Linked DNA regions of Neurospora crassa OR74A. The protein of the gene in region 1 purifies or fractionates together with the protein of each later gene. This does not show direct contact. Links are inferred from orthologs where the notes say so. Each region holds a gene or a part of one and is shown on either strand. Other genes may lie near its edges.

Region 1 (4,237 bases):
CACTTTAGGAGTGTGACTGCGGCTGTCCGGAAATTGTAAAAACCGAGCTGGGATTGACAGGAAGAGCAAAACACGTTGAGGCTCCGAACCTGGTTGCTGCTTTCGTCTGAAGCAACAACTTGCCTATCTGGTGATCCATGCTCAGGGGTAGAGAGTGAATACTAAAGAGCGGAAACATGGTCAGCACTAACTGACGAGGGGAGAGGTTTACTGGTGTGAAGAGTTGAGAAAGGATGTTCCTCCAGTTAATCCCAGAGCATTTAGGACTTGGCAATGATCTGGCGAAATGCGGAGGGTTCAGCCTGTCATCCACCGACTGGAAGCGCCCCATCACAGAAGTCAGGTTCGTCGACCACTCAATGCCCCGCATAAGCAGGGGACAGAGTCTGCTTGATTTTGGGCATTTGTATCGGTATCCATGCCATTGAGGGGCCGAGGCCGACTTGGCTACCTTCTTGATGCCCCGACTGCTAAGATTCAAATGGACGCATTCGAGACGGTGAATAGACCAAGTCATGAGCATGCTACATATGGACTTACCGTGATGTTGGAACAGTCCTGCTCGACGAATAACAGCGTTGTCAGATCAACAAACCCAACACCTTGTTGCGCCGAAATGGCCGAGCTCGCGCCATATCCTCGAGCTGCAAGACTCATGTCATCTGCCCTATCGCTTTGCCCGTTGGCATCAACGCCGTTTGACTTGTCGTGGTGGTGATGGTCATGATCGTGGTCACCAGGTTTGTGACAGTGCCAAAACTCCATCATCTCAGCCCAGTTCTCACTCGGGAGGTCTTTCCACACCTTGACAACATCTCGCTTGACAACAACGGCCTGGCATTGTCTACAAACAACTTCGGACCCGGCCTTCAAATCGGTGGCTGTCCAAGTGGACGACTCGGCTGATGATGCATCCGTGTATGTTCCTTGACCCAACGGTAACCTCCAGGAGAGCGCAGAGGCTCCAGGTCTTTGTATTGGCAGAATGGCGCCGCCAAGGGCTACCTTTGCGGGTAGATGTAGTGTATGTGACTGTCCATGGTGTGTGAGCTCGACATTCTCTCCATCCGCTGCCACCACTACTCGTGTTGACGCATCGCTTGCAGAGCCCAGTGAGATGGCCAGCGATATCTGGCGGATATTTGAAAGCAACTCTACATACAGTAGCGGCGTTGCAGGTTGGGATGTCATGCTGGTCGAAGCGAAGATGAAGCGAGGTTGAGAGAGGTGAAATGGATGGAAGTTGAGGGTGTGGAAAGTGAAAGTGCTGCCTCCCCACATGAGCTAAGTGGAAATGGATGGAAGCTCCCCTGCTCCCCACCGCGATCGAAAGCGTCGAGGTCTGGACTGCTTACCTAATGCACCTGGAGCGCCACTTGGAGTGGAAACTTCAGGTGCAGCCTTGCCAAGCCCGTGTCAGCTCTCTCACGGTCACGTCCCGTCACCAGTCGCTGGCCAAAATTTCAGGGAAGGCGTGTGCACCGTACCGCATCCACTGCGCCCGTCTTCAGCCGTGACCTGCATCCCTCTGCCTCCACCGTCTATTCCCTTGCTGATAGCCTCAGTTATACACGACAAAGTGTCAAAACTGTCACCGTCAATTTAGCTGCCCCGTCAGTTACCATACCCGATCCCACCCAACCACCCACGGGCAGCGCCACATCATCACGTCCCGTTTCCTCCCGACCACATACCATCATTCACCCTCGCGGCGCGCTGGACATTCTTGCGACGACCCCGACCTGACATGACACGAGGAGGATACGGCCAGCACCATGTCGGACTCGGATTTTGAGCAGATCAAGAAGCTCCAGCAGGAGCGCAATGCTGCTGCTGCCGCCAAGAGCGGTTCGCGCAGCTTTGATCCTGCCAACCAACGATCCGACAACAGCACCAAAGCCAAGCTGGGAGAAATATGGGACACCGATCTGTATGAGCGCAACACCGGCGACAAGTTTGCGGGCTACCACACCACCCTGCCTGCTGCCGATGGCGACGACGAAGAGATGGAAGATGCCGACTCCGGCCGCCGCCTAGTAGGACAGTACACCGCCACCCGAGCTCAGATCGATGAGTTTGCACGCGGCGATGGCGTCGAGGAGGATGATCCCCTGGCTGGCCGGGGCGAAAAGAGCAACCGCATCACCGACAGGGAGACCGACTACCAGAAGCGCCGATTTGACCGCGTTCTGACCCCTACACGAGCCGACCCATTTGCTGCCAACCGCCAAGCAGGTGCCACTGATGAAGGCGAGAGTTACCGGGAAATCATGGAACGCCGCGAGCTTGAGCGAGAGGAAGAGCGCGTACGGCGCGCCATTGAACAGAAGATGAAGGAGGGCGGTCCGGTCGAGGAGCACCAGCCTACCCTTCAGGATTCCGGTAACAAGGAGAACGAGGAGGCTGGCTCTACTGAAGCTGCGGCTGGTCGGAAGCGCAAGAAGAGATGGGATGTCGCCTCTACAGATGATGCTACCCCGGCACCAGAGCCCAAGAAGAGGTCTAGGTGGGATCAAGCACCATCTGTTCCCGCTCCAGGGGCGCCAGGGGCGGAACCCAAGAAGCGATCCCGCTGGGACCAGGCGCCTTCTGCCACTCCTGTTGGTAATGTCGGCCTAGCTACCCCGATGCACCCTACCCAGACCGCTGTCGTGCCCCCAGCTTTCGGGGCTGATGCGGCCGGTCGCTACGCACCACTCAGCGACGAAGAGCTGGACGCGATGCTTCCAGGCCCCGAACAAGGTTACAAGATTCTTGAGCCGCCACCAGGGTATGCCCCCGTGCGAGCACCGGCACACAAGCTGATGCAGGCTCCGGCCCCAACAACGGGCTTCATGATGCAGGACCCCGACAGCGGACGGATGACAGGCCAGCAGGTGCCAAAGGAGATTCCCGGTGTGGGAGACCTGCAATTCTTCAAGCCCGAAGATATGGCATACTTCGGCAAGCTCACCGACGGAGCAGATGAGGAAAGTTTGAGTGTCGAAGAGCTCAAGGAGAGAAAGATTATGAGGCTCTTGCTGAAGGTCAAGAACGGTACTCCTCCTATGAGAAAGACTGCGCTCAGACAATTGACAGATAATGCTCGCAACTTTGGTGCCGGCCCCCTCTTCAACCAAATTCTTCCTCTGCTCATGGAGAAAACATTGGAGGACCAGGAACGCCATCTTCTCGTCAAGGTTATTGATCGTATTTTGTACAAGCTCGATGACATGGTTCGACCATACGTTCACAAGATTCTCGTCGTTATCGAACCCCTTCTTATCGATCAGGACTACTATGCCCGTGTTGAGGGTCGGGAAATCATTTCGAACCTCAGCAAGGCTGCTGGTCTTGCCACAATGATCAGTGTCATGCGTCCAGATATTGATCACGTCGATGAATATGTCAGAAACACTACTGCCAGAGCCTTTGCCGTCGTTGCCTCGGCTCTGGGTATCCCAGCTCTGCTCCCCTTCTTGCGAGCTGTGTGCCGAAGCAAAAAGTCGTGGCAGGCTCGTCACACGGGTGTCAAGATCGTCCAGCAGATTCCCATCTTGATGGGCTGCGCAGTCTTGCCCCATCTCAAGCAGCTGGTTGACTGTATCGGACCCAACCTGAACGATGAACAGACCAAGGTCCGCACAGTGACCAGTTTGGCCATCGCAGCTCTCGCCGAGGCATCTAACCCCTACGGTATCGAGAGCTTTGATGATATTCTCAACCCCCTTTGGACCGGTGCCCGAAAGCAGCGAGGCAAGGGTCTGGCGGGTTTCCTCAAGGCTGTCGGTTATATTATCCCGCTTATGGATGAAGACTATGCCAACTATTACACCAGTCAGATTATGGAGATTCTGCTACGAGAATTTGCCTCTCCTGATGAAGAGATGAAGAAGGTTGTGCTAAAGGTGATTTCACAGTGCGCCGCCACCGATGGAGTAACGGCTGGGTACCTAAAGGAGCATGTGCTGGACGAGTTCTTCAAGAGCTTTTGGGTACGGCGTATGGCTCTGGATAAGCGCAACTACCGACAGGTCGTTGAGACCACTGTCGACATTGGCCAAAAGGTTGGTGTCAGCGAGATTCTGGAAAGGATCGTAGCCAACCTAAAGGACGAGAGCGAAGCCTACCGCAAGATGACGGTGGAGACGGTTGAAAAGATTGTGGCCTCTCTCGGTGCTGCCGATATTGGCGAGCGTCTGGAAGAACGCCTTATCGATGGCATTCTTCATGCGTTCCAGGAACAGAGCGTGGAGGA
Region 2 (2,956 bases), on another chromosome or scaffold:
TAGTAGTATCATTAGCCCTCGATTCAAGTCGTGTTCGTTGTCCCAGGGGTCAAGTTCTTACAACTACCGGCTCGCTGACAGTTCGCAGACTATGAGCCAAGATAAGCATCTTTTCATGCCGCCGGTGCATCTAAAAGTTAAAGGGGTCTGTTAGTAAGCATGTTCAACAGTCCGTTGTCAAAGGACAACCTACCATCCGCTCTTCGAAGTCCACCTGCTTGGCATCCCGGAAGCGTCTGCGTTCAGCGAGCAGGTCGGTTCTGCGCCTATCATCCTCGACTCTCTGCTGCTGCACTCGTTCCTGCTGGCGGCGTTCAATCTCCTTTCTCCTCTTTTGCTGCGAGTTGTTGGGTGTAGTCTGACTTAGAGTGTTGAGGAGACCACCAAACAAGCGCCTGCCGCGTTTCTTCTCCTCCAGGCTAACATTCTTCCGCGTTTGTTCGGGGCTAAGTGGTGCCTTTCGAGACGGCGGTGCGGCCTGCTCCCTTTGCTCGTCGGACTCTCTCCTACTAGTAGTGACTGGGCTTTGAACTGTGGTTTCTTGGGCGCGTGCCACAGCTTCGTTCTCCATTGGATGATCATTGTCCTTGGTAGTTGACGTGGCGTGGATCTCCCTCGCTGTGGCGACCGGCTCCCGCATCGAGTCCTTTACAGGTTCCTCTGTCCTGCCGGTTTTTGGCGTCGCTTCCCCTTCAACAATCTCACTGATCCTGCCCTGGACGTTCCCGTCCTCCAGTTTGGTGCGCTTAGCAGCCACGCCATCCTCTGGCGATGGTGAGGAAGTGGCCTTTCGTTTCTGGGTAGACAAGTCCTCTGTTTCCATCATCGGTTCCGAAGACATGAGTAGGAAATCGACAGCAGCTTGGCGTTGAAGCTGAAGCAAAGGTGTTGGAGTTGTAAGGTCTTGTAGCTCGGAAGTGATTGGCAGAAAACGTGATCGGCGTAACAAAAAGGTTTTGTTGTGCGTTGCAGTTAAAGGTCGAATGTACTTCTCCCATATATGTCGAATGGCCGGTTTGATCTCCCAACACGCCCGGTTCGTTGTTGGAAACTGGTGTTGGTGGATTGATGGAAGCCAAATTGTTAGTGACCGGCTGTGTCCAGAACTTCTCCAGTGGGAGAATCACAGTGAGCAGCTTCCCCGAAAGTGGATTATTCAGGGTAGTCCGCTGTTCGAGGCCGCTCGAATCCCCCTGTTCGGGGAAGCAGCTGGGAAGCTAACCCCACTTTCCTGCACCAGTCGCATGTCTTGGCATTTGAAGATCCGCTCTTCCACGAGGCTGACAGAAGAAAACGCGGAAAACGCTAGAAGAGGACGCCACATCGCTACCCACTTGCCGCCGAGGCTGACGAAATTCGATTCCACATCGGCATCGCCAGTGATCGCATCTTTCGCCTTGCATCACGTTCCCTATCGTCCTCGGCTACAACCACAAGTGCCATTTCGAGACCAGATTCACCGTACAGCGCATTCTCTGAGCGATCAATTTATACTACGCGACAGCACCACGCGTGCCCATCTCACCCGAATTTCAATCCTTCTGCCTACCATCACCGTCGCGAAAACACATCATAATCTCTAGCCCACCATGTCTCGCCATCATCCGTACGTCTCTTTTATGCTCGCTTCCCTCCTTGCCCAACCCAGCCCTGCTTGACCCTTTCTTGATAAACCTTCCCGACTATGTACATACTAACATTCCCGTTCCCCACAGTGATCTAGTAATGTGCCGCAAACAATCCGGCATCGCCATCGGCCGTCTCTGCGACAAGTGCGATGGCAAGTGCCCCGTGTGCGACTCGTACGTGCGGCCGACGACACTGGTGCGCATCTGCGACGAGTGCTCGTTCGGCAACTACCAGAACAAGTGCGTGGTGTGCGGCGGCGAGGGCATCTCGGACGCGTTCTACTGCTTCGAGTGCACCAGACTCGAAAAGGACAGGGATGGGTGTCCCAAAATTATAAACCTGGGTAGTTCCAGGACGGATGTAAGTTCTCTTCTTCTTTTTCCCCCCCCCTTCCCGCTTGCCGTGGGATAAAGTGCTTGGAGATGGCGTGCTCGTAAAGATTAGAGGCTAACGAAGTACGTTTTCACACAATAGCTATTTTACCAAAAGAAAACAAATCGAACATTTTAACAATAGAGATGCCCGGGCATGGGCTTGTGTGGGAAGATTGTTTGGGGTGGTTAGTTTCCTGATATGAGATGGGCTCCTGGCTGTGACGGATGGAAACCATGTTGGAAGGGGCATATAACTTCGAGAAAAGAAATTTGTCACAAGCTCAAGCTGCATTTGACTTGGCATCAAGGGCGTTAGGGAGTTCTGTTCACATACATAGCATAAGAGGGCAGGAGTTGAGAAAGACAAAGCTGAAAAGCAAGCACGTACTCTTAATTAGGCGTTGACTAACATGGCCTTGGTTACTCTTTAGAGATTTTGCCATCACATGTCAGGTTGCAGTGATTGTGTCATCTCTTTTGACTATGAACTGAAAACGAAACAAGCTATTTTCCGTGATGCATGACCCATTAACGATAGACTCGAAACAAAACTGTCGCATGCCAAAACCTGCTGCGACAACAGCCGCAATGCTAATTATCATCAGAGCAGGAATATTCCCTCCCTTACTCCCAATGTCCAAAATAATACTGGTACCCAAGCAGCAAAAAAGGGGCTCGGATCAAATGTAACTAACTTTCATCCCCATTCCAGCCGTAGCCTTCACTTTCCCCCACCCTTGCTGCACCACTCTTGTGATTCTCTCCCTCACGCTCTTTTTGCTGAACATCAGCAGGAACCCGATAATGAACGCCAGCGTCCGGTACAGCAGGAACGGGTTCCCATGGAATGCCGTCATAACCTGATCCAACACCGACCGGATATTGTTCAGTATCAAAGCCGCCTTCGTGCCCATTCCAGGGCCGGTCACGGCACTCGAAGAAGAACCCGTCGT

The links.
Region 2: the proteins of NCU03042 (region 1) and NCU00348 purify together in Saccharomyces cerevisiae (affinity purification with mass spectrometry; 4 studies listed by BioGRID). This does not show direct contact. The link is inferred for Neurospora crassa OR74A from reciprocal best matches to the Saccharomyces cerevisiae genes HSH155 and RDS3.

Annotation. Positions count from the first base shown.
Region 1 is NC_026501.1:8,343,981-8,348,217, reverse strand, and holds the start of NCU03042 (U2 snRNP component prp10), read left to right. Parts: upstream 1-1,434; 5' UTR 1,435-1,775; coding exon 1,776-4,237. Other genes in the region: NCU03041 (hypothetical protein), read right to left, coding at 1-161, 541-1,191. UniProt on the Saccharomyces cerevisiae protein: Contacts pre-mRNA on both sides of the branch site early in spliceosome assembly.
Region 2 is NC_026503.1:3,536,907-3,539,862, reverse strand, and holds NCU00348 (pre-mRNA splicing factor), read left to right. Parts: upstream 1-1,333; 5' UTR 1,334-1,589; coding exon 1,590-1,606; intron 1,607-1,715; coding exon 1,716-1,989; intron 1,990-2,103; coding exon 2,104-2,139; 3' UTR 2,140-2,447; downstream 2,448-2,956. Other genes in the region: NCU00349 (hypothetical protein), read right to left, coding at 62-130, 194-841; pex26 (peroxin-26 Pex26-Penicillium chrysogenum), read right to left, coding at 2,684-2,956. UniProt on the Saccharomyces cerevisiae protein: Required for pre-mRNA splicing. Involved in regulation of drug sensitivity and may play a role in multidrug resistance.